4 linked regions of the Lepisosteus oculatus genome follow. The protein of the gene in region 2 interacts with the protein of the main gene of each other region in a pairwise test. Links are inferred from orthologs where the notes say so. Each region holds a gene or a part of one and is shown on either strand. Other genes may lie near its edges. The genes, in order: kif5ab, traf3ip1, kansl1b and smc3.

Region 1 (7,918 bases), on a different chromosome or scaffold from region 2:
TCTGAGGATCCGCTTGTGAGCACAACACAACAGCCACAAAGTGAGCTCAGGCTGCACACCGCAAACGTCTTCAAGGAAAAGTTTTTGATGTTGTACTCCAAGTCAAAACAACCAATGAAGGAAGCCTCTCAGTGCTTAGGAAGTACAACTCACGAATGGTAATTAGCTCTGTAGAACCAATTAACCAGCACAACACAAACAACACAGAAGGCAGACATTAGGTCAGAGACAGACCCGGTCTGTTCACAGATAACCAATGAGCTGCAGGAGGAAGCTTGACTGGCCAATCGGAGCTCAGGACTCTCAGGAAGCGGAGATGCTGCTCTTGTCAGGCTGACCACATGGATCCCCAACAGTGGAGGCTGTAATCCTGGGGTGCACATTCCCCCTTGGTGGGGGGGGGTCTGAGGGTGCCAGACAGGCCAGGTTGGTTTAGAAGGTAACATATTGAAAACACAATTTCAACACAAGCACTTACAGTAAGTACAATGGCTTTGTTTGATCAAACCTACGTATTTTAAGGTAAAATCTTAAGGTGGAACTTGAAAAAGTGTCATTTTGAATGTATTCATTTTACTGCAACATTAAATATACATTTCTAAAAAACGTGTGATTTTTCATGTACTCTTAATTTGACTGTGAAGTTAAAATAAATGTATAAGTGCTTTGAGAACCCACCTTTAAAGGCGCTATATAAAATAAAGTTTATTATTATTATATTATAGAATTCTCTTTCACTCTGCAGTGATGCTGGTAGTTTAGGTTTACAGGACTGGCCATCTTATGAGGTTCATGATCAGGGGAGTGAGACGAGATCTCGGGAACCAGAGGGGCGCAGGACTACGGCACAGGTGAGGAACTGCTGCCCTGCTTGCTAAGGCACTGATGGGGCCACACGAGTGCCTGCGCACAGCCGATAGCAGTGATCCCATTCCGTGAAAGAAAAATGAAAGCGAGTGCGGTCTTCAAGGGCTGGGGTGCGTGAAAAAAGAGAAAATTAGACGCAGACGCATTTGACCGAACTTTACGAAGCTTTAATGCTTTCCTTGCCGCCGACAGCCCTGCTGCTGGTGATCGTCGCAGGTCGGCGAGTAAATGAAACAAAACTCATCTATTCATCCTGCATCTCACGACAGGCGGCGCCTCGCCGCACCTGTCCAGCCGTATTTCTGTGTCATTACCGAATCTCCATTATATACAGGATATAGTTATTTCTCATTCTATAATGACCATTTATTTTAAGCGGATTTAAAAGCAATGGGAAAACGGAATGGGATTCATGGAATTCTGGTTTACAGATTTCGTATGGCAGGAAAAGCGACCATTAGTAAAAGCTTTCCCAAGAACATGCCACTTCATCTTATCGACCCGGCGGCTACTAATCACGTTTCCGAGGGAGGCTCAGCGACATACACTGGGATTGTAATGGAATATTCTGCTCGCCCGAGTCCTCTCGGGCCGGTGGATGATCACGTGCCCCAGCAGGCGCTGCTGCACCTAGAGGTGCATAGCAAACTGGCTTTTATTCTCCCCCAGATGTGCCCTTTCATTGCAGAACTGAGCGCTCGACTGGCCCTGCACATTTATTTGACTTTGATCGATGCGATAGTACGAAGGTACGGGTTTCGCCGAGGCGCGCGCCGACTGTGATTACATTAAACTGCCTCGCAGCCCAGTGCAGAAAGACCTTTCCTGACAAGGCAAGTCGTCCTGCTGTTGTTTCCGCTGCTTTTATTCTAAGAGAGAGAGGCGGTTAATTATTCTAGAAATGAAATGTATAGAATCGTAATGAGAACACTAATGCAAACATGAAACTTGTTAAATTCCCCAAATATTTTCGTTATCCCAAATGCACAGGTCACGCACTCCCTCATTACCGTACTGCAGTGGATAATATTCAGTAAACACTAGCGCACTCATAAAAGCTTAGACCCGCAGCGAACGTCCGGGGTGCTGCTGCACTGTAATTACTGATGTTTGTGGAGCCAAAAACATATTCCTCCGTGTTCTGGGGTGTGGACAGCGAGGTCTGGCGTGTTGACCGCCCATCCGCGTAAAATACCACCAACTGAGATCAAACAAACGAGGAAGCAGCGAAACTAAGTCCAAATAAAATGTCATTCTAAACCTTATCGAGAAAGCGAAATCCTTGAACGTAAGGTAAAAAAACAAACCCCGTAAAGACAGCAGAGCGATACCGGCACAAATGATTCAACCTTAAACCCATAACATCGCAGGGCTTTGGAGCACTGTACTTGTTTATTTGTAGGTTTTAAGATTCGTTCCCAGGCAGGTACAAAACACGGCACACCGGACCCTCCCCGGCGGCGTCATCTTTGAACAACAAACATGACGGGCAGCAAAAAGAAGGAAAAGGCCGGGAAGGGCGTACCTACCCCAATGATAACCGTGTCATCCCCGCTGAATTTCGGGATGAATTTATCTCCTCGCACGACCTCGGCTTGATTCAGCGGGCGAAAGCGGCACAGCACTTTGATATTGCATTCTGTGGAAGCATCGGCCATTGTGACGAATTCGGATGCGCTTTTGGAGACACTGAAGAATTTTCCTGGTGTTCTGGCCTTTTGTAGGTAGATCTAAAATCAAAACAAAACTGGGAGACAAAGGCTTTGTCCGAGGGTGCGAATTCCCTTTAGAACTGCAGGAAAAAATATAATCGGAAAAGCGAAAAATAAAAAAAAGAAAGCCGAGCGCTTTATTGCATTGTCTACAGATTTTGCAAACAGGCTACACCGTGGTGTATGCACTACCGCGTTTAAAAACAGGATTTTCGTACTGGTCAGCTAGACATAAATATTGGTATCGACGTAAATCCCTTTGTTTAAATATGTAATTAATAAGAATAAAACCCGGACGGATTCTGGCAGGTCTGACTTGAAAATGTCGCTTATGAAAGGGCTAAGACGGAGCAGGTTGGCGCTACAGTCCCATCCGAGAACATCAAGCAGAGCACTACGGCAAGATAGCGCTGCAGCAGCACCGCCACTCCGCGCTTTATGAGGCGCGGGGCGTGTCCTGGCTCTCCGGCGCGGCCGTGCGCTCGCATCAGCACCACTCAGCGCCGCGCGGGGGGACGGGGGCGCCTCGCCGCTTCGCTGTTCGGACACAGCGTTGTTTGGACACGGAGGGGAAAGAAAAAGGACGGACATTTCTGGAAATCCGTCAACATGCTACAGTCTAGTTAGGCCTTATTGCCGCACTTTATTCGATAGTATAGTGCATGATACAGAATGCATTTTCAGAATTCCCGGTGCTTTATTATTAATTATATTATATTAATTCCCGGTGCTTTGTTATTAATTATATTAATTATTGGGCTGAGTTGGACAACCCGACTGTTTGTCACTGGTAGATGCAACCTAATATTGCTCCTTTAACGGCTAAAATAAATAAATACATGTTAATATAAGAGTGAGAGTATTTGTTTTAGGCATTATTTTAGGGGGAAAAGTCGGGGTATTTGCTACAACTTCCCAATCATCTGAGATCTAAAAGCTATGAGCCACATGGTCCGGGTAGCCTCCCTGCGTTTGTAACCTTTTCTGTGTCCGTAAACAAACATCTCGCTGCGGGTGACGCAGCACTGGAAAACACAAACGCCTGAGCCCCCACTGTCGGCCCCCGAGTCCGGGCGATTGCAGGAGCCTGCGGCTGTGACGTCACAGCCCGAGGTGGTGACTGGGCGCTTTCCCTTCCTGGAACCCGACCCACGTGGACAGGGAGCGCGAGCATCGATCTGGAATCCGGGAGGCGTCAGGCAGAACCAGGAGTGGGAGGGGGGAGGAGGAGAGAGGAGCCAGAGTCCACGAGCGGTCCGTGCAGCTGGAGAGACATTTACTTTCTATTTCATTTCCTTACACCTGCGTGCCCTTTCACAGTTCCTGCAGCCTGTGCTCTGATCACTTCCACGTTGCTTGCTATCTACCAGGGTAACCGCACTCCCGAGCGAAAAGAATGCAATCAGTTCATTAAAGGCACGTAGGTCTAGGCAGATCTCAATGAATAATAGGAGGGAGGGAGGAGCCCAGCAGCGTCTGATGTCTGTTCAGACTCATGGTTTCTGCATGTTCCTGTTCGAATATTGATACAAAACATGCTGCCATGATGACAACCGGCGTAATGTCTGCTTGCTTCTTCTGTATAAGCTTTTTCTGGACACTCCACTCGAAGCGCTTTACAGGTAATGGGGACTCCCCTCCACCACCACCGTGCAGCCCTACCTGGATGATGCGACGGCAGCCATAGTGCTCCAGAACATTTACCACACATCAGATATCAGTGGGGAGGATTTTTAAAGACCACAAATAGTCAAGACCCTGGTTTTACGTGTTATACGAAGGATGATGCCCTTTCACAGTATATTGTCCACATGGACCGCAGGGTGAGCGCCCCCTACTGACCCCACTAACACCTCTTCCAGCAGCTTCCCCAGGAGGTCTCCCATCCAGGTACTGACCAGGCTCACCCCTGCTGAGCTTCAGTGGGTTGTGAATTGCTGAGTGATAGAGCCGCTGGCTATAAGAGGTTAAAGGTAACTAAAAGAGAACAAAAGTGGAAATAGAGAGAAGTGATAGCCCCGATAATAAACTACAGTACATATTCAAAATCACAAGCTAAAGAAATATTAAAACATATAGTGTTGCAAAGTGAGGTGTCTCTAAATTAGATTTCCAAGGGTTTTGGGACTTCATTCAAACGGGACATTAAAATGGATTTCAGTATTCTCAAGAAACTGATTACTGTACTGTTCCCTTCAGACTGAACAAAGCTGAAATTCAAGTTTACAGATTCATTCTTAGTCCCATTACGGCCATAAACGTTGTAGGACTGACGATTCAGCATTATTTGGCTGGAATGGGGGACACAATTAGACCATTTGTTCTGCTTAATCTGCTCTAGATATACTGAAGTTGTCCCTGCACTAAAACTTAATGTTCCATTCTTAAGTGGTTTCCGGGATTATTAGGTTTTAGTTTTAAGGCCGCTGAATTGGAGTGTGTGTGTCTGCTAGTTGATGACGCCTCAGACAAATTACAAACACTGACATGAATTTAACGTTTGTAAATATTATTACTGTCATATCAGCAGAAGCAGATGTGACATTGGTACCACGTTTTTTTGGTTTTGAAAATCGTAGCAATGGATTTTGAAGTATTCCGAACGAAACATGACAATACTGTAAAGTACATTGAAACATCAGCTCCACCAAGAGGCAGTTTTTGAACTGTGGAGACTAAAAATAAAATCCATACAGATTAATACGCGTGTTTTCCGTAGATTTGACGGAAGGCCACAAAACTCGATACAGTACAGTGTTTCGGCAAGGGTACACAAAACAAACAACACTTCCCACAATCCCTTGAGGTATCGCATTACCTCATCCTTGTCTCGTCTCGGAGATAGGATCACGCGAGAGCACCGGCTTCTCGCTCTTTGACTACCCTTAGGAGCTGTCAAACCCAGGGAAAATAGCAGAAAGGCGTATTGTGTTGCGAAGGCCTTGTTATTATTTTACCGAAGGGAAACCTAAACCCTGTACTTTCGCTTGCAAATAGCCGTCGCCTTAAAAGCCGCACTTAACCGTCTTCTCTCTACTGGCGCTGCAGCCTCAGCAACAATGGCGGATCCCAAGTATGCTAATTTGCCAGGCATTGTAAGTAAAAAAAAAGACGGGATGCTGTATACCTTTATAGAACAATGAAGTGTTAATCTACTAAAAGCGGGTCGATCTTTAAGCCATAGATGTGCCGGACGGGCGGTGGGGTTCGCCAAAAAGGCGGGTTGCTTTGTTATTTTGTGTTATAAACCGCACCCCAGTTTGAAAGACTGGATTCACGGGTCCCACAAGTGACACTTGACGAATAATGTCGAGAAGCGTCCAACTCGCTGTCTGGGTTTGTCGTGACTCAGTAAATCGAGACGACCGTTTTGTTGTCGCCTGTGGGAGTGGTAAGGTGGTGATTTTTTCAGAGTTGGTTTACCGGGTACCCGTGGCGCCGGTGAATACCGGGCAGTTTCAGGAGATGGCGATGGGGCCGATGGTGTTTTTAACGGCCGAAAAGCGTTGTTCCATCAGAACCGTCACGTCACACCTGGGAAACCTATCTGCCCACCGGCGAGGTGGTAGTAATGGTCTTGTGTGTGATTGTCTGCAGCCATTCAGGCCTGCTGGTGATGAAAGCGGATTTGTTTTCTGGGCGTTGGCTGTGCTGAGGTCCGGCCAGCAGGAAAGTGCGTCTTTAAAAGACCCAGCAGCGACGTCGTGGCGGGACAGGGGTGGGAAAGTGCAGGTCACCCCAGTCCTGGTCCTGCTGGCCCCCAGTGAGTGTCTGTAGATGCTCAGAATCTCTCTAAAGCACCCAACGAGTTGGGAGTAATAAGTTGATCCACTGAAGACTGTAACCAGTTGGTTAGCTTAGAGAGCTGTAGTGCAAACCCGAAGACATACTGGTATTCCAGGACCAGGATGGCCAAACTTGTACATGTTTGTTCAGTGATCGTCCATTACAGGAGAGCAGTGATACTAGACTGCAATCTGAGAGGGTTGGTTAAGGTGGCTGTCCCACAGTTGTAAGTATAGGGTTCTCAATACCCATACTGAAGACCCCCAGGTCTTGGGCTTCATTGCAGTTGAGCCCTGTATTTTACTGAATCGTGAACTGAGCCATCAAGGTGCTTAATTAGAACCCTTGCAGGTTTGTTTCTTCTTTTTCTTCTCATAGGTGGAAGATTTTAACTTTTACCTTTCTTGATGATCTTAAAAGGCAACCTCCTATGCGATTAGGGGCCGAAAACCAAGAGTTAATATGAAACCTGATATCGTCAGCTGTAGGGCTCAGTTATTCACTCGAGCGTTGCGAGGGAACAAAAACCAGCAGGTGTGGGGGTCCCCCATGACTAACATAGGGACCCCCTGTTGCAAGACAAAGGGTGAACTGCATCACCTTAACTGTTATCGTTGAATTCATTTTTTGTAATCTACAAAACTGACTTGGGGAAAAAAAAAACAGTTTTTCGGCAATGGGCAGACATTGCAGCTCTTTGGCTTTCCTACCCTGGTTCTGGAGAGCCCATGTCCTTCAGGCTTTACAGTACAGGCATCTTCAGAGGACACTATTTTCATTGAGAATAATTAAGACAAAAATAGGTTCAATTTAAGTGACTGGCTGCTTTGTTGGAATGAGATCCACAGCGCAGATGACCTACGTTATCGCATACAGGAGGCCCATCATATCTTGAACATGTAGTACAGCTTGTTCCCCACTAGAGTGGTTTATGTAAACATGCAGAACAAATTAAAATTAAAATCCATTCACTAGCAAATCTCACAGATAAACCAGAGAGATATCAAGTCAGCTGTTCTTGGAGATGGGGAGAACAGAGACTATAATGACCATTACTGTCAGGCAGTGGGGAAACCTGAAACCAGGACTGATCTGCACCAGGTTTGTTAGTGCAGGAGAGGGCTTTTGAGAAGGTTGTTGGAATGACGTAATGACCTCTCCCTGACAAAACAGATGACTGCTTACTGTGCAGCAGAAATCCTTGGTTCCTGACCTGAAGAGCCGCAGGATCTTGTCTTATTTTATTCTGCCTGAGCTCTTAATGATTTCACTGAGTGAGTGACTTAAATGGTCTGTATTATAACAGTGTTCTGTCCTGTGTGACCCACGGAGGGTGTAATTTCCTTGTGAAAGCTGCAGAGCTTTCACTCTCTAGCGCCAGTGTGTGAGGATCGCCGTGGAGCAGGAGCTGGGTGGTTATTAAAACAGACAGCGTTTCCTTGTTCTTTCCAGGCCTCCAACGAGCCCGATGTGTACGAGACCAGTGACCTGCCGGAGGATGACCAGGCCCAGTTTGAATCGGTGAGTCTAGTGGTTCTGCACCCTGACCCCGG
Region 2 (7,892 bases):
TTGCCTGGGATTCCAAACCCTAATTATTCACACTATCCAAGATTTGTATTTCACAATGTTAGAAGAGCTGTACTTACCCCTGGAAAGGGTCTGAGGGACCTTTTTTGCTTTTCTTTGAGCAGATACATCCAGACTTGCTACAACAAGCAGGATACAAAGAACAGAGGAGCGACTCATAGTTCTGAAAAAGACAGATCTACTATTAATACATGTACTATTTCTTTTTCAACATTTTAAAATTTCACAATTAGCAGCATTTAATGGTCTCTGTTTATGGCACAGTCGAAACAATTTCGTGATGTACATGTACAGTAGATGCATTCTAGTTTTTTTCTAGATGTCTTCTGAAATAATTCTGTTTGGATTTTGAATCAAGATTTCAATTATTAACACACCCATTTTACTTTGAAATGATACTTTAGATTTTAGTGCTATATATACTTGTACTTAAAACTACTGTATAAAAATGAGTTTGATTTCAAATACAAAACTTTCCACTTTAAATAATATAGATTATAATCCTGCCTTTCATACAGTATTTTAACCTTTGTTGTGTACCATTACATTTTAAAGATGCTCCCGAGTTTGTCTTATAACACTTGAACCAGATATCAATGAATCATCAAATTGCCTAAGCCCTTGAAACCCTTTTGAAGCATATATTTCAGAATTTTAAAGACATCAGAAATATCAGTCCCATGTAATACTGCTTGCACTTCCACAATCTTGTCTTTTAGCATTCCTGTTTCAGGACTAACCTGTTCTAGGAGGAGATTCAACACAATTGTTTTAAGAGAGAATCTCTTCCTACTGTATTTCTAGCACAAAGTGTGAGCGTTTTACAAATGTAATACTTTAGTTTTCGTTTTGTTATAATTGATCTCATATAATAGAATGACACAACAGTATTTGAGAAAAGTAAAAAATGTCCTTAAGTTGCATGTTTCCCCTTTACATCAGATCTGTCCACCCTCTAATGTTTTCCATCTATTTGTTTCTGTTTTGGTTTCCAATAGGGTTGGTTTATATTTTTCTATACTGACGTTTTGACAGCTACTGTATAGCAAATATAGAATTACTTTCCTGGGGGAATGTCACAGCAAAATTCTGAATTAGTGATGGTTTCTTTATCTCATGTGGACTAGCTTGATTTAGAACACTTGTCTCCAGTTTGTGGGGATTACAAAGAGCTGTTATTTATTAAGTTTAACTCTTCTTCAATTTAATAATTCCCTTCTTTACTCAATTATTATTATTAATCACTTATTTATTTATTTTTTTGCTATATCTAATGCTGACAATTAGTCAAATATATTTGTAAAACCAATTCTATGATAATCCTGGTTGACTAGAGATGAGTAATACTGCTTTTAAGTATTCTACAAGAATATTTACCAAGCAGATAAATCTGTTTCAAAGATTGAACTTTTTCAATCACCTAGATACAGTACGAAAGAGCCAAGTTTCGTTCTTACCTGTTGCTGTCTTGAAATGTGAGTGAATGTTCGTTGAATTCTTACCTCACAAGCCTTCTTTTTATAGTCATCTAACTCATCTAACAGGTGTAGCAAAGCTTGAACGTCAGGCATAACAAACCAGGATATCCTTATCTTTGAAACACACTATTCAAACACGCCTCAGGGTAGGGAAGTACTTACAGTACATAAATGCTTATACTGCACCTTTAAACCCAATTTTAATCCCATTGATTTTAATCATAGGTGGAGAAAGGCTTCTTCATAATATATTTTTACTGTTCTGTATTTTTTTAACAGAAATGATTCAATCTTTTAATCTAAATTAAATTTTTTAAGTACCACTCATTTTAAACCTACCTGTGGTTGTAGGAAACCACAGGGAATGAATCTATGTTTTGAACCTAGTTTTGAACGCTGAAATTAAATTACATCTTTGGCATTCAGGTATTCAGGAAAATTAATGAGAAAGATCTAACTATCAATGTATTTAGTGACTTACTTTTTTATTAAAAACAATAATTTATTCAATGTTTTTTTCTCATTATTCATCTACATTTAAGAAGCAAAATATGATGACACAAACAAGATACTAGAAATTTTCATGAACCACAATAACAATACTTCTGAATTTTATGCTTGAAGACCTGTATTAAAGTACATCTTGGTACAGCACCAAAGTACAAGATGAGACTCACTCTGTAGTATATGTTTTACTTTTTTTATGGAATTATTGTCCTTTTGTAGCTAAGATTTTTTAAAAATCAATACCTGGTTTTAAGGTATGTTATTGATTAACTTTTTATTAAATCATTTCACTTTTATTCAATTTTGGCATGAAAGAGAGAGAAAAAGCAATCAACGTGCTTCTGTTTATTAACTGATTCCACTATTTCTATTTCTCACTTTTTTTTATTCCTGACGTCCTTGTGTTAACAAGCTAGTGATCTTTTGGCATTCGTTTTTTTGTAATTTATTATTTTAAAAACAAAAATATCATTATATACAGTACTTCATAACCCAGCATTTTTTCCATATTCCCATCCTGTTATGTGATTGAAAGCACGCCTAGACAAAACACAGTGCTACTTAGTGGTACACAGTTTCAGAAACCATAAATCTTTTTCAGAAAAAGCATTAAACAAAAAAGAAAGAAAATGTACAGCAAATAGAACAAAAAGTACACATTTCACGAAGAAAACGGTGTGTTTCATAATCCCCTGAATGCAACAAGACCTTAATTGCTTAGTATACCCTAACCACTCAGAGATGTGCACATCAGCTATAGCAAGCTCCCCAACTGTAAGCACGCTTTTCATCTGTTCCCTTGGGTGTGTCCAACCAAGTCATCTTGACGCACACCTGATAAAGACCTATTCAACTATATTCACCTACTGTATGTTCTTTTATTGAAACAATTTACTAAGTAGTATTATAAACTATATGCTATGAATGAACATTTTTATCACTGTGTCTTTCACAGGGTTTAACTATTTTCTAATCAATTTAAACTTAATAATAACAACATGTGCTTAAATTGGCATAGACCTTTTCCTTCCAAGAAATCCCGAGTGCTTTTCACAGAGAAGGGGCCCACTTCATCCATCACTGACCTGCACCACCCACCTGGGTGACACTTTGCTGCCCCTATGCGCAAACAGCCCCTGTACATAAAAGTGTTAATTTTTATGCAGCCATCTCACTTCACAGTTATTATGAATTAGGCACTTTATTTAATGAAAAATGATGTTTTCCGAGATCCACAATACTTTATAAAGCGTTCATTCTAGATTTTACTTCTGATATTACAGTAGGTGTTAAGTATTCTTTATTCATATGAAAATGAATTTAAAAATTATATGGGATCAGTAAAAGCAATAATCTAGTTATGAAGATTTCTAACTTCCTGGATCCCCGTACAGAAGAACAAACAAGCTTCCACACTTAATCATCTTAAAAGTGAAAGATAAACTAAATGGTTCACCAGACATTCCTGTTTCAGGGTATATCCTTGTTACTACCTTAAGAAACTCTTATGTTTAAAGTTAGGAGTGGCTGCAGGATCTCTGCATTAAAGCACATTAATGGTGATGTGCTGCTTACTTTCAAAGTAGTTTACATAAATTGCTTGAGGGGTTATTGAAGATTTTGTGTAGAGAAATTGGAGTAATGTTTCCATTGATGGAATCTAGAGAACATGAAGAAGTTTAATCTGTAAAGATTGCTCTTGTAAAAAGCACAGTTTTGTTAGAGTTAAATGGGGAGAGATAAATATCCAATGTGTAATTATGAACTGTTAAGTTATGTTTTTTTAAATGTTGGTTAACAAAGCAAATGAGAAAAAAAACCAAGGTGATTCTAATTCTATATAATTGTGGTTATAGTTGCAGTATATTTTTCTATAAAAGCTTTTTTTAGCTACTAATACTAAGGTTTTCACAAAAGAAAGAATACAGAACAAAATATTAGAACTTGAAATACATATTCTATACTGGACAATTAATGCGTCAATCATTTTTATACATTATATATGGGACTTTTTAGATTATAGATTTTAACTTGATATTGTTTAAGCTTTCTTCTATATAAATTTCCTTTACAAACATGCAAACTCATTAATTAGATGGGGGTAATTGATTGATTGATTGATTAGTTTTTAAAATGTTTTGAAAGAAAAATGCAAACAAGTTTCAAGTTTTAAAAATGGTTTCCTTATTTTCCATCTCATTCTTCACAGACACCTTTAGGTTACAGTTTATCTATACTTCCTAATTTTAGATAAAGGTACAAAAAACTATGGCTTTGTGTTAGTGCTAGAGCAATTATTTTACTTTAGAATTATTTACTTCAAACTTGGTTTTATTTCCTTTTCTGTTATTAATCTCCTACAGTACATTTTATATAAGGATTTTTGCTACATGAATAACAAAAACTCTTATCCCATATGGTAAAAATTCAAATGATGTCTATAACTCAGATTAAGGGGTGTTGATTTTTTTTCCTCATCAGGAATTCTTGATAACTTATTTGGCACAAGAACATATAAAGATCAAGTTCAAACTCATACAGGGATTTTGTCAGTGCTAACAGCTTTAGTTGTTCATTAACTTTCCATTACTGTAAATTCAGTGAAACGTTCTAGTAATAATTGAATTAAAACAGTGTTAAAACATTGATCAATAGCAATAACTTAAAAATAAGAATGAAATAAACCATGAACATTTAATTAATTTTTCAGCTATAAATGCCCTGCAGATATTTTGGTTTTTAGAAAAGGACCTCAAACGATCCAATTCTAAGAGCCTTTGGAATTCTTTGCATTTCAGTTGTTACTTGTTGCTAAGGATGCAAGCCTCGCTTGACAACCATACGTCACTTGCGCAGGCGCAGCTAGGTTTAGCGATGCATTGTGGGATCGGAAGATACCGACGTACTGAAAGCCCAGTGATTGCAGAATTTATGTGGTGAAGTGTTTCTTTCGGTTCGTCTTCACCTAAAGGACTTTTGTTTTGGCGTTTGTCTTGCTTTGCTGCTGCTATGAACGCGTCAGTGACCAAGAAGACCCAAGATACCTTGGGAAAAGTGATTAAGAAGCCGCCTCTTACTGAAAAACTGCTTAGTAAACCGCCGTTCCGCTACCTGCATGATATATTCACCGAGGTGAGAAACAGAACTGCAATGACTGACAACGGGAAAAATTGGATTTGTTGAAATATCCGTGGCTTGTTTGCAAGGAGGAGTTTCTCTGGTCTGTGTGTGTTTGTTTCGGAGTAGTGCATTTCAGTGGGACTAAGTTTGGGGTGAGGCTGTTCAGGAATAAAGAGTAGTAAAGGCTCAGCTGCAGAAAATTTAAAAAATGCAGTTAAGTTCTCTGATGTAACCTAAATAACTGTATTTTTTTAAAAAACGGACAATAGTCGGTTTCAGTGTAAATGCTGTAAAGGGTATGCGGTGAACACCTGAACTGTCTGAATGATGTAGAATCGAACTGGCGTCTTCTGGTTGCTAGGCACTGGTCTCTGCTCAAGTACACTAAACAATGCGAGGCCTTGATGAGTTATTTAAATACAGGACCGTAAAATACAAATATACCTCATCATTTTCTGCCCGGTGTTTGATTCCGTCACGCTACCCTTTATTTAAAAAAAAAGTTTTCTGTTCCATAGCAGTTGGTTTTAATCCCGTAATGTGTCCCCACAGAGGACACATTACATTAATCGCTGTCCTGCTGTGTCATGAAAATGGTAGCTAAATAATTTGTGCTGTTTTATTGTGCCAGTGTCGCTAATTAATATTACTGAGGTGTTAGCAAAACGATTATTTTACTTTGTGTCGCTCAAATCCAGTATATAATTATTACTGATAATTCAAACAATTTGGTCTAGCAAAGCATTATTTTATTAGGAGCAACATCTGTACAGAGATTAATGCTTTTACCCTTTACATCTTTCAAGAAATGGCTAGATAAATCCTTGAATGAATTAATTCTTTAATTAGCAAATGGGTTAGATGAACCAGAAGGACTTATATCGTTTGTAACTTTTCTTATGTCTAGCTGTTTCTTAAAAGCGCTCAATATTTTAACCTTAACCTGAAAAGGTTGTTCCACAAGCCAACAACATTTGTGTTAAGAAGTGTTTCTTGTTTTCCATTCTCAATGAATTCCCTGTGTCCTTATTTTAATACTGAGAAAGAATTTCCTGGCTTAACCCTTGACATTTTATATACAGCATTTTATAATTGCATCTTCTCTCAATCTCTGCTCCCTACATTATTGTATAATAAAGCCCTGATTGTAGGAATTATTCTTAGAAAGACTTTAAAAACTAAATGCAATTGTAAAGTGAGGTCCTTGTAGTGCATTTAAAAAAAATAAGTAGATATTTTCTTAAATTCTGCACTTTTTAATATAAAACCAAGGATTCAATTTGCTTTTTTATTGTTTTATCAACTTTGTTTTATTAAGTCATTGCTTAGAAGTGTCTACATTAAAAACCCCTTCATGTGTAGCTCCCGACAGTTCACCTGTATGATATACAGTATGTAGTATACGATCCTATTACTGTAGCAGTGTGAATAACTGCACTTATTTTAAATTTGATTTGCTGTGTATCTGTTTACCCCATGATTTTGTCTCTTCGTATTTCTTTTGCTACTGTGTCTATATTTGCTGCTCTCTCTGTTTTTGTATCATTGTTCATCAAGTTTATGGTCGTGATAATATTAAGTCTGCTTTGGTAGTACGTCATGGTAAAACTGTGCTACTGTTGTATTACCATGGCTAATTCTAAAATGTTCACAGGTTAATACGCGACTTGTGGTGTCTTCATATTTATGAATAATTAGCATCTTGCCAATCATTAAGGTCTTCAAATCATCATCATTCATCGTTAAATGATCACAAATGTCTTCCTGAAACTCTTTGCTATTTTTTGCTCTGTTTCACAATGTGGAACAGTGACCCTATCATTGTTTGAATTTGAGAAACAAAATCAGTGATGTTAATTGCGGAATATTTTAATTATTGAAAAATTACATGAGCAGGGGATTCAGAGAGCCTGTTCAAAGAGTTGCTTTGTTGCGTGATAGAAGTAAAGCCAGATGACTCGTCTTAAAAATAGCAGATTGAAGCAAGGCCCAGCTAAGATTATCCTGGGAGGCTGAGCTTGTATGAAGAACTTAAAAAATTAGGAATGACATTGTATGCAGCATACGTTAAGTGGGAAGAAGGAGATTATTGATCTGCCAAGAGTATAACATATAACGTATATTAGACACACTTGTGAACAATGCAGTTTACTTTTCAAGAACTGTAAAATGATGTATGCATGGAACACAGTCCCAGATTTTTGTTCTTGTTCTCAATCATCTGGATTTTAGAAAAATTTTTACCCTTTCCCTAAACAACATGTTTTGTATAGGCAGTCCCAGGCCTGTAGTCTGCATAGAACAGAGAACCTGTGGCATGTGCTGGTTATTTTGTGCACATTTGGTGACAAACGTGCTCAGTGTTTGTGACATTTTCAAACTTTTTTGGTAGGGTTAGGGGAGTCAAATGAAAGTAAACTCATGTAATATAAATTTGAAATTGTACATTTCAAATTACATAAGACAGTCCGCTAATAATATAACCTGTATGATCTTCAAAGCTTGATCTCTTTTATTATTTATTCATTCATTTGGTTTATAATCAATGATCCAAAATCCTAACATTCTGGAACCGGCTTCATTTTATAATTGGACAACTGTATCCATCCTGTTTTTCACAGGTAATAAGGACCACTGGGTTTATGAAAGGCCTTTATTCGGAGGTAGAAACGAAATCAGACAATGTCAAGGTAAGGTGGTCTTATTAACCTTAGCTTTCACATTAGTTCAGGAACATTATTAACAGAAATAAATTGCAGTTATCAGTAC
Region 3 (7,878 bases), on a different chromosome or scaffold from region 2:
TGTCGGAGTCCTAATTCCATTGACTTTGCCAAAGTTGGCTGGAGACCCACTGGGATTGTTCATTGGTCATCTTGTTTTGAGGTGTGGCGAGTCATGCTAAGCAGACGCCCAGTCTGTGCAGACCGCAGACCTCCAGATGCTAATGCTCAAGAGGTTCTGTGAAGAGATTTGGAAGAAGTGCTGCATGTTAATATGGGAAGAATATTGCTTTCATGTTTTTCTGTTTGCTTGTGTAAGATGAAGTGGGCATTTATAATGCGATAAAGTAATGTAAGAACTAGCATTCAGCACACTTAAGACACTTAAACTTTATTATGAATTAAATATGCCAAACCTTCAAGTAATCCTTGTTATACATATTTTTTTATAGAAGACAGGTTTGAAATATTACTATTACTAATGACTAGTGTAAAAAAGGATACTATTACAGCTTTCATTATTCCTTTATGTTAATACAATTGTCCATCTCTTGCTTCAAGCCGTTCCAAAATTGTGCTGCTGTTTTTTTTTTTGTTTTAAATCAGACATGAATTCTTCTTTTAAAAAAAACAGTATTTAAACTGCATTTTTCAGGTCAATGTCAGGCATAAGTGACTGGAATATGGTGGACGTGTATGGCGATGGAGTCTGCTTCTAAGAAAATACTTGTTTTAAATTGAATTCCGCAGAATGAGTTTTGCATACAACGTTTTGTTTTTGCATTTTACAAGTGTAACTGGTGTCTTTTTTCTTATTTTGGAATTGTACAGTCTTAGGGAAACAAAAGTCTTTCTGTTAATATATATTTGCAATTCATTTTAAGGATGTGAAAAAATACAGAATAAACTACTTTGAACAAAGCCTTACAATTGGTCATTGGGTGCACTTTACACTTTAGTTTCATTTTACATTTTAACTATTTTGGCTGAGGTACTATATATTTGACTATGGGATACTGTATACAAGGAAGGATTGGGTTCCTAGATTTTAGAACACTGATAGACCATGTTTTAAATTCATTTACATGTTAGAAGAACACAATATGAAATGACTATATTCTGCTTAAGTTTTAGAAGTTAAAACTGTACATTTTATTTAAAATTTTCAAAAGCCCAATTTATTTCAACATATTTAATGCTTTCTTTGAACCTAAAGCTGAAGGGTTTTTTGAACTCCTGGAGAATTTCTTCAAGATGGCAACAAAAGAGGATCATTATCGCAAAGAAGAGACAAAAATTGCAAACAATGTTGAACTTTGAAAACAATTTTAAAGTGCATTATAAAGTGGGTATTAAATTGGGGAGACTTATAAAAATCTGCGATAAGTGTTGTTCACAACATGGTATATGAGCCCTTTATATAGTTTGGCATTTTTTCAATCCATTGAAGAATTGTGACTTTTAACACTTTGTACAGTCCATCCATGTGCTATGGTTGCTGTTTGACTTTGTCAGCACACAGGTAACTGCATAAGACTGCGATGAGATCAGGAAGGCCTTGGCAGCCTTATGAGTCTTCCATCAGCCTCTTCATATTCCATTTGGCTTTTGCTCCATCGGCTGGATGTGTGGGGTCATTGTAGTAAGATGTACCCCGGCAACCATATCACTTAATGAATGCTCAAAGTTTGTATCTGTTGGTTGTTAAGGTATCTTTGACTTTTTTTTTTGCCAATCCTTGTCACCCGTTGCTGAGATACAGCTTCACACTTGATCCACCACCATGCTTTACTACAACTTATTGTACACTGATGCACGCGGCGGCTCTTCAGTCCACCATTGAACAAACTGTTGTTGATTCCTGACAAACAGCTCAAACTCAGACTCGTCTGCACTCTCTTCAGGTTTGATCAACCCACTTTTTCATTTCTGTCGCCTGATGTTTCGTTTTTATTCTGCTGGTCTCTTTGGAGCAGAGGTTTCCTAATGGGAGTATCCAAGCTTGTGTACGCTCTGTGGGTGACAGTTCTCTTGCTGTGCCCCAAAGCTCTGGAATTCTACCCAAAGGATAACAAAGAGTTGGTGTCTGGGAGCATATTCTGATTCAGACTTAAAGAAATCTTCAGAATGGCTTTTTGTTTAATTGGTGTCTTACAGCAAGTGCTTTGAGTAGCTGCTTTTAAAAGCACTACATAAAATTGTAATAATAAATTACTACTCACTTTACCACTGATCCCCTGTGGTTATTTTGGAAACATTAGTCTGTACGTGTAGCAAGATCTCTACTGGATTGTTATCCATCAGATGGAGGATTTACTGAACTTTATCACTATTGGATAGTTTGGATTTTTACTCCTTCACCCACAGTCCTGTCAACAGGTCAGTTTCATCAGCCGTCGTCTGCTGGACCTTGTGTATAAAACTGGGGGGCTATGATCTGTTATTTTTCTACAACTGTGTGATTTCCTTACCAGGAGCCATTGGGTTCTAGTTTCAAACTCGGAAAAATCCTATTTCTGCCCGTATTTAAATGGGCTTTGTGCTGGATTAGCACGATTGAGTAATTGGTTGTCGGGCAACCAATGGTATTGTGCCATATCTGCACGACCCTAGATCAAACAACGTTTCATTTTAACAAGCTGTGTTCTGTTGTGCACATTGCGGGATATACCCTCCTTGTCCTGTTTTTGTAATTGCCTCCAGTATAATTTGTAAAAGTATTTCTCTGCGACTTCCCTCTGTGCCACACAAGCACAAGCAGGTAAGCTGCTCCCTTCACGTCTTTGGCTTGTAAAATCGAAACGTCTCAGTCAGACCCGTTCCCCTTTCTGTTGTAATTTGACACTTTAGTGAAACGGATTTATAATCTCATAAAAGCAAGCATGAAATATTTCATGATGCAGTTAATGATGCACCTCTTCATTGATACCACAGCGTCAAAACTTTTATATCTTTCAGCTCATCTTCTGCTGCACACTAATATTCATGTGTGTTCTCACTGAAGCCAGGCTGGCCGTTATGCTGGCTGTTGTGTGTGCCAGGCTCCCTGGAAAGGGAGCTGTTTCAAATGAACTAATTCTCTCATTTAGCTGAAAGCTCACAAGACAACAGCGTTTTATTACGTCTTCTGCTTTACGAGCGCATACAGCAGGTAGATGGAAACTGGCGATGCTGACTGGAAAATCTTATGAAATTCGTTGATGTCATCACGTCCCTGCTGATGCAGTAGTCTACATTTTTGCTGTACGTACTGTAAAACAACTGCAGGGAGGAATGCTTCAATGTATCTTTTCTCCAAAGCTCAGTGGTTCGATTTGAAGCAATGGAATTGTAAATTCAATGAAAAAGCCCTGGAAGTCTCCTGCCTTCTGTAATTGCCGGTCAACCTTGGGGTGTCATTCCCCTGTCAGCTTTCACTCTGATAGGTAGCTATGTGGGAAACATTTGGCATTTTATGCATTGATTTGTGCCCAGACCACAAGCTGCATTTTAACATTAACTGCATCCCTTATACATTTCACCACCCCGTATTTTGTTAGGGGAATGGAGCACAGCTTTGCTGTTGTTTTTTTTTAAGAAAAGAGACCAATTTTAAATAGAGGGCTATTTAACTTTGACATTTACAGGAATTTGCACATATAAATGGGGCAGCAAATCGTGAATTTTTTTGCAACACAAATTAGAGTAGCTAGTTAAGATCTCTCCATTGTTATATCAATACTCTAACAATTAGGCTTTGTGAAAAATGGATGCATACTTCGATTCCTTACAGAAGCATGTGCTGAAGAGGCGGAAGGAGTTCAGTTGTTCCCAGTTCTAGATGTTGAGATCTAGAATCTATTAGGTTTTTGTGCATCTTTATATGGTCAAAAGCTTAGGCTAAGAGGAAGGAGAAGTTGGCCCAGCTACAGTTTCATTTGGAACATTTAACACATCTGGAAAAAGTAACAGGTTTATTCCCTGCTGAAAAGAGAAGAAAGAAAACAACGTTTCGGCTGTGGAGCCTTCTTCGGGACAGCCACAGCCAAAATCGATGTTTTCTTTCTTCTCTTTTAAGCAGGGAATAAACCCAATACTTGTTCCTTTGCAGCCGATGCATGCTGACGCAGCTCCCCACCTGAACTAATTTAACACATCTTCCAGGTGAAGAGCTCTTTACAACTTAATGAAACAAAATAACCCTGAAGATCTCATTTGGTAATCCCTGCTCTAGCAAATTGAAAAGCTAGCGTGGTGTATGTAAGCCCCAACACAAAAGTGGTGGATTTCCTTCAGCTATTAATAAAGGCTTCTTCTCTGTTCCTGTGGTTTAGTGTTCATACACAATTTGGATAGCTCCTGTCTCTATTTTCAGTTACCAAAAAGCTTAGAGTTGATGCTGCAGTACAGCATAATAGTAATATGTTTTATGTAAGTGGAATATAATTACCCTGAGGTCTCCACAAAACAGTCTTAATCCCTTTCAAAACACACGGGAGTTGTTTTGAATTTTAAAAAGATGGCTTGATTTCTGTCAATGTATTTGTCTCATCACATATAAAGCATAGTACATGTTGCCTTTTCTGCTCAACACTCCTCTAACCCTGAGGGTATCAGTTAATGAAGCCAAATTCACAGACGAGTACCCCAAAAATGGTGTTAATGCTCTCGCACTATGACGGTACATTTAGAGAGTGTAACAGGAACGACAATGAAAACAGTTGAATCGTGCTTAAAATCCACCAGGCACTGTGATGCTGTGGGCAGGAAGACAGTGCAGTGTACGAATGACAGTGTTGTTAAAATTCTGGGTTACCCCGTTAAACAACACCCATGCTTTCTCATTTGCGAAAACAAAAGTCCTGCAAACTTCAATTCAAGACACTTTCCATCATACGCCTCTCCGAAACGAATGACAGCCCTGCCTACCAATAGACTGTCCGCTCTCGCTGCGTTGTCCAATCAGAAAGCACAGAGGGTGGGCGATTTCGCTTCAAGGCTGGTTGAATTGTGCAGGTAAGTGAACATGGATTGCAGATTCAAGATATATTGTTTTAAAAAAATAAGGGTTTTTAAGAAACACTGTGAAACAAAACGTTTGCTGTTACTAAAGATAACGACAAGGGTAAGGCAGGGTCAGGTTTTGTGTACGTAGGATAGCTGAATTAAAATTGCACAGCATTGCATAAAGAGAGTTCTTTGCTCTGGTAACAGTCAACAGGCCAAAATAGTGGTTTAGTGTACAGCAGTACAAATAATGTCCAGACAATGAATCATTACAAAGAAATGAAACTTTTGCTGGAGTAAATGAACGAGAAAACATGTACAATATCGACATTCTGCGCAAGATCTGTCAAGTTTAATGACAAAATGCACTGTTGTGAAAGCAGTAAAGCCAATATTTGGAGAAAAAGCTGGACGCACAGGCCAGATGTACTAACGGTGTAACATTATTTTGTGCAAGAATGAACGATGTTAACTCACAAGCGTAAGGAGTTCTTAGTGTCAGGCATAAATTCCAGGGTCTTGAACAAGTAAGTACGGAATTATTTTCAAACTTGGACGATCATTATTTCCTGTTATGAGGAGGAGGAGGAGGATAATGATGAAGATGATCTGAAATTGTAAAGAAAAGCATAAGGCCAACAAAAAGAAGCACTTTGCCTGGTACAGTTTCCTAATTTCAAAATAGAGCTCGTAAGAAATTCGTTAACCAGTAGTTATGAATATTATTAAAAGAATACAACTAAGACTGTAACCACGGGTATATAATACGTTCTTTTATTCAGTTGTTTTGACTTTTTAAAATACAAATGCGACGCTTATTTCTACGTTTTGATGTTTCTTTTATAAATTATTGTTATATTTGTTTTTTTTTCTAAATACAGTGTAATATTTATAGATATTATGTCTTGCGTGTTATCGTCACGAAGTCGTTTAAACATTCGTTTTAGGCACCTTTAATTATTTTCGATATTTACAATGTTTTCATAATTGGTACGGTTTCATTCATTGCACAGTATTAAATATATAGGTGTTACAGTTTGTGAACGTACACATTTTCGTCCAATTATATTACTGCAAGTGTAGTACTGTTTGTGTGATGCTAATAGTAGTCTAAATTAAAATTAACGTATTAATAGACTAACGAGAAAGTAGTTAATTTCATTTGAAAATGTATTTGAGGCCAGAGGCCAATAAGTGTGATCATCGTAGATTATCTGAAAGAATTGTGGAACTTTGATTTGAGAAAATTAAAGTAATAGAGGCCTTAGCAACTTCACAACAGCCACACCAGTATAACCAGGAATATGATCCCACCTCTTTCATATTTGCACAACAGGAGTGATACATCGAAACAAAAAATATTGTTTGTACCTCTGAAAAAACAAAACAAGTGAGAGAATCTTCAGATAAAAACAGCAAATAAAATAAGAGCTTCAAACTGCAGTAAAAATGTCATTTCTCAGTAATGCTGTTTTGAGAGGACAGATGAAGAGAACTGAACAGGTATAATAAGCGTTATCCATGGAGAGGTTTTTTTATGGGAAGTTTCTGCACAGGGTGCTCTATGATAAAGGCTTTCATCATTGCTCATGGTTTGCAGAAACCAATTTTGTGGATATTTCTGTGACTTCTTTTCATACAGATTGAACCTGAATGGTGTTAAATCCTGGCCAAAATATGTACAGTATTGATTTTGCTGGAGTGGACATCTCTCGGCTGTTCTGACACATGTATCTGAACAGGGCTGGGCTTGGCGATCTGTTCATCCCCCTGTGTGCACAAGAAAGAATGGATATGATACTGAATTGAAACCATAGTACAAGATTCAGGTGGTCCTGATTTATCTAACGTTTGCAGCTTGCAGTTTGCCTCATCACTGATGGTAACAAGTTGTGACAGCATTCCTGTGACTTCAAAACTGAAACTCTCTTTCCTTTCCGCGATCTTAGGAAATTTGGTTCCATCAGGATCCGTGGATTTATTGCCTGGCGAGATGGGTTGGCCTGGGAGAACCTTCTTGGAAAAGGCCTTGTATTTGCTAAGGGGCCATGAAAATATGAACCCAAAGCTTCACAGGTAAGTTCTTGAGTGCTGGTTCTTTTCACACTGTAACTACATGCAACTTTTAAATTCTAGTTTAAATGCTTAGATGATTGTACTTATGGAAACCATCGCGTGTGTACATATTAGATCTAATTTCCAGGTCACAGAGTTTGTCCTTTTTTACAGAATGATTTGGAGTTAAGTTTTCATCTCGATAGCGCTTTACCTTGATCTGATCTGCTTGGCCCAAGCAAGTGCCCGTGCCCCTCGAGTACAAAGCGCACCTGGGTCTGCTGTCCACGTCTGTGTTCCTGCTCGGAGAACGAATCGGCTCCATTCCTTCTGACGCGTGTCTGAGCGCCAGCAGAATGCCAGAGGCCAGAAAACATCTGAATCCCCTGTCGGCAGAACTAAGTTTCCCTCCCCCCCTAGAAATTTAAATCACCCCCCCATTACAGTCAAGTGCATGTCTAGATTGCTGTTTCTCCAGGTTCTATAGATCTCTTTGAGACCCCAGCACCTGAAATTGTTTAATTGCTCATATTAAGCCAATAATGGGCTAATTTAGGTCAGTGAGCTGATCTCATGTTCACACCAGCCCTCCTCGTCCAGGACTGCATTTCCCTGTTGGGGACCCCTTCTATATATATTTGCAGGTAGTATTGCTTACATTTGTTGTGCTACTCTGCACCAACTACTACTATTTGTACGTCTTTTTTTCGGGGACTCTGTTAATGCCGCATCCGAAGTCCGAGCAGCCAAGCATTCATTCTCGTTGATCTAAAAATACTCAGAACCGATTGGAGCTGTAAAGAAAAAAATGAAAGAGATCTACATATATCCAAATGATGGTGTTCTATTAGTAAAAAAATAATAATTTGCAACAGGAGTGTTACAATAATTAAATGTTGCAACAGGAGTGGGACTTGCT
Region 4 (7,864 bases), on a different chromosome or scaffold from region 2:
TCCCAACCTCATTCCTGACTCCTGTGCCGATCCAGTCAAAGGTTCACCAGTTAAAGTTGAGCCCGATCAGTGCATTGCCTTAACCTGAAGGCTGACGTCTCCTAAGATTACTTGAAAAAACAACAACAAGTCCACGAGCTCAGATCCCCCCTCACAGACCCTGAAAAGGGGTGATGGGAGCGTGGAGGAACGAGAACTTTCTAAGAACGGCAACTGCAGGGCCAACAATGACGTCGTTGCTGTCGATATCCATCCTCATCTCCACAATGAAAAACAAAAGACAGTGATACACTGATGCTGCCATCTTTGATCTGTATTGTGATATCAAGTAGGAAAATCGCCTTACTATGATGATGTGAACCTTATTGTGCTCAGAAAGCCTGTGCAAAGACAAGCAAGTTTTATTAATTTATTAAAATGTTAAATTACGTAATAACTGGCAGGAAGTAATTATACTCCATGCCTTGTTGGTCTTAAAAGTGCTTTTTTAAAAAAACAACAACAAATATTTATTTTGCTAAAGACAATGACGTGGAAATGCTAATAAAGTAATTTGCCAAATGGGACATGGTGGTGTTGTTGTTTTCTAACTGGGACTACACAGAAATGAAAAATTAATCTGAATGAATTAACAGCCTTGGCAATTGAAGTAAACAATCACTTAATTTTGAAGAAGGCTCACTTATCCTGAAGAGGGCTTCACGGCCGAAACGTTGTGTTTTCTCTCTTCTCTTTTCAGCATGAAATAAACCTATTGTTCCTTTGCAGACAATGCATGCTGACGCAGCTACCCACCTGAATCACTTATTTTATTCATTCTACAACTCACACTCAGGTTATCAGAAAGCTTTTTCCTCAGAATCCTCCCTAGGATGGTTTGTTCCTTTTATAGATCTAATTTAAATGTATTCTGCTTGACACCCTAAAAAGGCAAGCCAATTGTTGCTGCATTGAATGCATGTCGCAGTATTAAAAAACAATCCTGTAGTTTCTGGTTGTTCTGAGGATTATTAGCTTACTAGACCACTGGCTTATTGCAAGGCAAGTAAAGTGAGTTAAACATCTGCACACCTGATCTCTTTTACAGGTGCATAGGAAACAATCACTGACAGAAATAAAATGGAAAAATTCATTCGTGCTGTGCTTTGCATATCTCACTTTATTCCAAAAATAGCTTGCATTTCTGTTTCCAGCCTTTAGCTCTGCGTGCTTTTTTTCTTTCGTATTTCCATAAAACACACAGACAGGCACAAAGCAAAACAGATAATTTAAGCAAGAATAATACAGTATGTTCAGTTATTTCACTGGTGCAACTCCGTGTGACTCAGACATGATCCCTTCGCAGCAAAATGACACAAAATGAGGTAAATGATCCCTTCTTGTGAAAGAAACCAACACATACAGTCTATAAATGGTCAAGCACTGATAGCAACCTAGTAGCTTACCAAAATACATGCACAACAAAGACATCGAGAAAAAGAAACGTTAACCTTAACATACAACTTAGCAAATAAAAAACAAGAGGAAATTAAGAAGGTCAAGAACAAAGACGATTCTGAAACCGAAGCAAATTTGGGTATTTTATTTTTCGTTTTTATTAATTTAATATTGATATCAACTTAACAAGGATGTAAAGAAGTGAAGAATGGAATGTGTTGCTCATATGCATGAATTGGACACTAGCACATTCTGATTTTTCAGAAGGCAAGGTAAAGTCAAATCTTGTCTTATAAACTTCACCTCTTGGTCACTCTGATAAAGAAAACGTGCATCGAAACGATTTGTTTTCCTGCAGGACACTGATAGAGTAGGTCTGGTGTTGTTTGTGTATTAAAACAGCTGCGTAATGGAGTGGAAAATTAATAGTTTTTTGTGACTTAAAATGTATTTTGTAAACTGCAGAAACCTAATAACACTCCATGGAATATTGCCCACAGCATTCCTTAGACAGAAACATATTATTCCAGCAGCACCTTTGTAAAAATAAGTATCATAATCACATATCCAGTTTTGTTTCTGGACAGAAAACTAATCATTTTAAGGGTGTTCTCTAACAGAATTGACCTGTGGTAAAAAGCTTTTTCTTACATCTGTAGGTTCGGAAATTCTTTGGTTTGCAGATCTTTTGACTTGGTTTATTCCACGACACAAGCCAAATTCCTGATTGTGATGATTTACACTAGAAAGGAGAACACTGACGTTTGAGATGACATAAAAGTAGGTATTGTGGATTAATGATGTGCTGCGGGGTGTGAAAGAAAAGAATACAATGGGCATGTTCAGCCCTCCTTCAAAACTATGCAATCAAACTGTAGATTGTTTGTGTCCTGATCTGTTTTGATATTTTTCAACATTTTCCCATTGACGTTTACCTAGAAAGTCACCCCAGCCCACAGACAGTTACGTACGATTTGCTAAATTGCAGTCTGGTCTTTCTCTAAATGTCATGCCACTTTCATTTGAATCTGTGAAACACTGTGCTGCTTTTGCAATCTATCAGCACAACAAATGGTCACATATATCACAAAGTCTAAATGTAGAACTGTTTGACAGACAAAAGCATCCTATCTCTTCCTCAGAGCATGTCCAAGTCACTGTGAGATAGACCTAGTCACAAGCTTATTTATGCTGTTTCTGTGAAAGGCTTTTATTTTCCTTATTTTTATTTTGCTTTAATGATAACTTATTCCTTTATCATCAAACAAAAAAAGCAAACAGTGGCATTTTTTAAATTTCATTTTTGTATAGTCATGATTTATGCTTTTTTGGTTTCGTGCTCTAATGCCAGCTGTGCCAGTGGAATGCTTCTTTACATTAAAACCACCTTGAATCTTTCATTTAATGTCAGCTTAAAATGAGCATCTTGTCACCCCCCTGAATGAGCATATGGCCCTTCCCAAACCCATATAAAAAAAACTGCAGTGTATGTGCCTGCTCTGTTTTGTGCTTTGTATTCTGCTGCATGCATACCTGGGTTATACCCATGTAGTGGCTGTTCTTTTGAATATGGCAGTGCTACTATAGGGTACAGAATGTACTCACTACCACAAGCAGTGGATTTTGAAATACAAGTTCTATGGCTTTAAAAGGGTGCTAATTTACGACATCAGTGCCTTGTACTTTCATTTAAAAACAAATGTGAGATCATCTTGGTAAACTTTATATGCATTATCCCAAACTTTTGGTTTTTATTTTATTTTTGCTCAGTGGTAGGGGACCACTGCTGGCAAAGATGTTGGATTTACAGAGAAGAGAACATCTGCAGCAATCTCCAATGTAGCGCAGCAATAATGTTAGAGACTAGGGGTTGTCGGCGTGGGAAACTGTCAGTCCAGAAGATATATAACACCCTTTCCAAACTCCCTCGGAGTCCACTTGATTGTTCATAACACAACCCACCTTTTCGACTTTAAGCATGTGCTTAAATGCGTTAACAATGAAAAATAACTCTAGAATCCCATGACAATGAAACATTCTCGATGAAACGATGTTAGATTTGCGCCATATTAAATACCTCTCTCTTTAACTATGTTAATTTGTATGTTTTCTAGCCATTAATTTAAAATGTGACGTCTGACATTTGTCATCTTACAATACCTGTCATTGTACTTGAAATTTCAGTAAAACGATTGGACTTATTAAATCTTAAATCCAAATCTTGAAATATTTGGGTTTTACGGCGTTTATTACACATCTAAGACAAAACTATTACAATCTGAGAACAGTAAACAGCGCCACCTGCACCCTAGTCCTTATACTTTTGCAAACGTTTCCTTTCACGTTTAAAGCCAAAATTGCATTGACAGGAAAACGGTTTTGACAGAGATCCTTAGAATGTAGTTGCAAGATACAGTAGTTTTTTTTTCAATTACTCTACACATCAGGCCCTCAGTATTTTTGTAAAATAACATTTTGAAGCAGTAGTTGCAATGGAAACGACAAGACTTTTGGATGGAGTGGGTAACAGTCGGCTAATGTAAACAACACTTATTAATATATTTTCATTGAAAAAGCGTCTTTCGCTCTGCATTTATTTACAAAATGGAACAAAGTTCACACCACTTTTTCACGGCAACCTTCAATTGCTTCTACATGGCCAATGGCTTTATAGCAGATACGGGGAATGAAACGTCCTCAGAGCACATCTGGTAGCCTGTTCAAGGTTTGCTGTCGGTGAGGAATCATCCGTGTTTATGTAACGTCTACCTGCCTGATTTGTATTTTTTGTACTCATTTTTCTTTGGTCTAGAATTAATATCAGCATTACCCATCTTTATTAGCCCGCATTTATGTTTTTGTGTAAAACGGACGTACATAGGTACACATCACATTGATTACAAATCAAAACTCTGTAATCCGTTCGGGTTTTTTTTTACATTGGCGGGAACGGGAAACCTAAAGTAGTATCTCGCTGCCAACAAAGATGGCTAAAAATAATCCATAAAATCACTTCACGACTGTCGACATGTAAACAATGTAGATAAAGAGGATTTGTAGTATATCTATCACCGCATATTAAATGTCTAATAGTAAAATGTAGTTTAAAATAACATTGAATTCAGTTATACAGTATCGACTACAGTAACGCAGTTGAACACACCTCAGACTCTGCAGCTTTGGCGCCGAACCTTTCACCTTATGTGGTGCATACCAACTGTCACACATAGGGTGGGTGTTAAACACTAATGACGAGAGCTTTTCTTTAATTAAATTTCATAAACTTAAAATGATATTCTGGAATCATACAGAATTATTTTTGTTTACAAATATTATTGACGTCCAGTGTCCGCCATGCTTGGTTTCATAATTATTTAATTTAACCGACCTCCCCTACACTGGACAATTCAAGCATACCCAATTTGCTCCCTCCTCCTGTCGCCATCTTGGTGCCTGTTGTTTCTGTGTTTTCATGGGGGGGGAGAGTTTGCTTTTTCCGAATAGTTTGCTTTAAATAACTTCATTCTAACCATTTATTGATTAAAATTGATAGCTTTTCGCTCCTTCCATTCGGTGGAAGGAGAGGAATTTTCCAGTTCCCTATCGTCTCGTTGATTTGTCTTTTGTGAGGGAAAATTACCTGGGAATCCGAACATGTACATTAAACAGGTACAGTAAAAACTGCTCTTCTTCTTTGGTGGAGAAAAACGTATTCGAGAGGGAAATTAGAAACAACGCCTTTCAGATTAGACAGAGTTCCTTTGCCTTTGTAGCTGTTGGTGACTTGAATAAAATTGTGAAATGGTTAAAAATAGTTGCAACTTGGGCAATGAATGAGTTGACGTCCGTGTTTACAAGCCTTCATCGGGTAGACGTTGGAGTTTCTGTACGTCGGGTTTGAGCCTTGAAATACGACGGGAATACTGTAATCTTTTTTATAAAGGGGTAGTATGTTGCTTGCTGAACCAATATTGTTTTGCAACCAGGAGTTCGTCAGCTGAAAGAAGTAGGCCTCAGGCTATCTAAATATCTGCAGGAAAAGGGGATTTTTTCAGAGATGAGTGCTTAAACTAGCTTTCTTAGATGGCGAGCTGCTGCTGTTGTTGTTGATTCTCTTGCTGAACATTTGGCTTGTGATGTTTCTGTGCTGAATGACGTAGAACGATGGGAGCAGGGGAGAGGGCTGTCACATTGTGTGATCCGGAAAGACAAACGAACCGAGGAGAAAGTTCAAAGGTCCATCCCGCATCCCAACACCACCGGTGTTTCAATCTAAATGATTTAAAAACAAGTTTCAAATCTTAAGAGTGATTTGAGGTCCGAAAGTCTTCAAGTGCTTGAAGTTGCAGCCTGTGTTGTATCTACCCAAGTGTGCAGTTTCTTTTGCCTAGAGGCAGGTTAAGCAAAAGTGGACAGTAAACCCCAGCTCGAAATGAATACTGTTAGCTTTACCTGGGATCATACTTGCAGTACGTAGGAGGTTTTGCTCCGAACGTGACTCTGATATCGAAACTCATCGGTAGTAGCTTGGTAGTTGATAGAAGCGATGACTGCATTGTGTTTGTGTGGGTGCTTGTGAGGGGGTTCCTGGAGTCCATGAACATCCCCCAAACTGCAGCTCAAGGGTGATTTATGAAATTCAGCAACTATTGTGCTGGAGTTTGAACCATACTGGTTTTAAACATAAATGCCGCTTGCCATTTTGGGTGCCAAAGAAGCAAATAAGAAAGTAAAAGCAAAAGCAAAGTGTGAGATAAAGGAAAAAAGAATTCAGAGCTACAATTTCACAGGTTACAACAACATCCTTTTCAGAGAGAAGAGGTAATCGGGGAATTGAACATGGGGTTCAACAGATAGTGTCTCGGACAACTAAGATAAGATAAGATCACTTTATTGGCCATATACAGTTTCCTGCATTAGGAATTCATCTTTTTGCATACCCCAGCTTGCTCTCCATGAGACACAGACACACAGACAGAGAGAGAAGCTTGGTGTCAGAGCGCAGGGTCAGCCATTGTACAGCACCCCTGGAGCAGTTAGGGTTAAGGGCCTTGCTCAGGGGCCCAATGGAGTAGGATTCCTCTGCCGGCCGTGGGATTTGAACCGGCAACCTTCCAGCCACAGGCGCAGATCCTAAGCCACAGAGCAACCGCTATTTCTATTTCTATTTGCACTATTTCTGATACACATGCTTTTACCAGTGCATGTTAATACACACACACATTTATTACATAAATCAAAGAAGTAGAAATCTCTAAAATCCTATGGTTTTTACAAAAATCTCTATAGTGACAACGTGAGACACCTGATAGTAGACGGCAAGCATTTCCACCAAAGGGAAGCTAGATGGCTGATATAATGACTTAAGTCAACTTTTCTATGTTGAATAAACCAATATGTCTGGATTTTCTGAGAGAAAATACAATTAACACATTTCATTTAGCACAGTTTTAAGTATATAATACTTTGCTTTATTAAGTTATTGAAATGTTATTATTCATTATTGAATTATTATTCATTTTTGTCATTTGAAATATTTTAAGTTGAAAAATTGAAAGACTGTTTGCCTTTAATGGTTGGTTTCAGAAATTGAAATTGAAAGCGTTCTAGAATTTAGCATAATCTCTATGCAATATGATGGGTGTCACAATTTCTCCTGAATGTTTATCTTTTCAGGGTGGTGCTTAAACACTGACAATGCCTGTAAGATAAGTGTCTTTCCCCCCTGTGTAAATTAACCAGTTGTTTAGAAAACTATAGAAACCCAAAAATTGTAAAATAATTTTTAATTATAGGTGTGTTTGAAACATTTTTTCTTAAATTGAATACACATAAAGTGTATTAATAAATTGTGGAAACTAAGACCTGAGTGTTGAAATTAAATGCCTGGTTCAGTAAATTAAATTAATCAACAGCTCTTTTGGTACAAAAAACATAAGGTGCTTGGTACACTAGGACAAAGGCTGGAGAATTTCATCTAGATGTCTCCACTAAAAGTGCTGTTTTCATCTTCCTTCAGTAATTACAGCTTAAAGCACATGAAGTCATTCTATGTGGCTCATAACATGCAGTGTCTTGAAATTAACTATATTTGAATTGCAGATTTGATTTAGTTCTTTGTTTATACGGGTAGTAGAAACTGATGTAGAGGTAAGGATTTGAGATTGTAGCAGTGTATGAGAACCAACCTGGGTGAACTTCCAAAATTATCTCTACATTTACTTTACCATAATCCCTGCTCCAAGAGAGCACCTTTTCAGCACCTCCCATTAAATCATACATTTAAAACATTGCTGTGATCAGTTAAACAGGTGACAGTCACAGTAGTGATCTGACAATTAGCAATCTTTTAGAAGAAAAATGTAATGACCCTTGAGTTTCCAAGGGTTCTTAATTGGTATAAATCTTAATAAAATCAATTCTTAAT

Evidence for each region.
Region 1: the proteins of traf3ip1 (region 2) and kif5ab interact in a two-hybrid assay, tested with the Homo sapiens proteins (2 studies listed by IntAct). The link is inferred for Lepisosteus oculatus from reciprocal best matches to the Homo sapiens genes TRAF3IP1 and KIF5A.
Region 3: the proteins of traf3ip1 (region 2) and kansl1b interact in a two-hybrid assay, tested with the Homo sapiens proteins (2 studies listed by IntAct). The link is inferred for Lepisosteus oculatus from reciprocal best matches to the Homo sapiens genes TRAF3IP1 and KANSL1.
Region 4: the proteins of traf3ip1 (region 2) and smc3 interact in a two-hybrid assay, tested with the Homo sapiens proteins (2 studies listed by BioGRID and IntAct). The link is inferred for Lepisosteus oculatus from reciprocal best matches to the Homo sapiens genes TRAF3IP1 and SMC3.

The regions. Positions count from the first base shown.
Region 1 is NC_090696.1:18,011,358-18,019,275, forward strand, and holds the start of kif5ab (kinesin heavy chain), read right to left. Parts: upstream 3,017-7,918; 5' UTR 2,526-3,016; coding exon 2,397-2,525; intron 1-2,396. Other genes in the region: dctn2 (dynactin subunit 2), read left to right, coding at 5,639-5,674, 7,818-7,886. UniProt on the Homo sapiens protein: Microtubule-dependent motor required for slow axonal transport of neurofilament proteins (NFH, NFM and NFL). Can induce formation of neurite-like membrane protrusions in non-neuronal cells in a ZFYVE27-dependent manner.
Region 2 is NC_090707.1:21,566,732-21,574,623, forward strand, and holds the start of traf3ip1 (TRAF3-interacting protein 1), read left to right. Parts: upstream 1-4,879; 5' UTR 4,880-5,012; coding exon 5,013-5,135; intron 5,136-7,744; coding exon 7,745-7,813; intron 7,814-7,892. Other genes in the region: agr1 (anterior gradient 1), read right to left, coding at 78-177.
Region 3 is NC_090723.1:7,954,436-7,962,313, reverse strand, and holds the start of kansl1b (KAT8 regulatory NSL complex subunit 1), read left to right. Parts: upstream 1-4,868; 5' UTR 4,869-4,913; intron 4,914-6,853; 5' UTR 6,854-6,980; intron 6,981-7,878. UniProt on the Homo sapiens protein: Non-catalytic component of the NSL histone acetyltransferase complex, a multiprotein complex that mediates histone H4 acetylation at 'Lys-5'- and 'Lys-8' (H4K5ac and H4K8ac) at transcription start sites and promotes transcription initiation.
Region 4 is NC_090699.1:39,758,926-39,766,789, reverse strand, and holds the start of smc3 (structural maintenance of chromosomes protein 3), read left to right. Parts: upstream 1-4,864; 5' UTR 4,865-5,091; coding exon 5,092-5,106; intron 5,107-7,864. Other genes in the region: dusp5 (dual specificity protein phosphatase 5), read left to right, coding at 1-83. UniProt on the Homo sapiens protein: Central component of cohesin, a complex required for chromosome cohesion during the cell cycle. The cohesin complex may form a large proteinaceous ring within which sister chromatids can be trapped.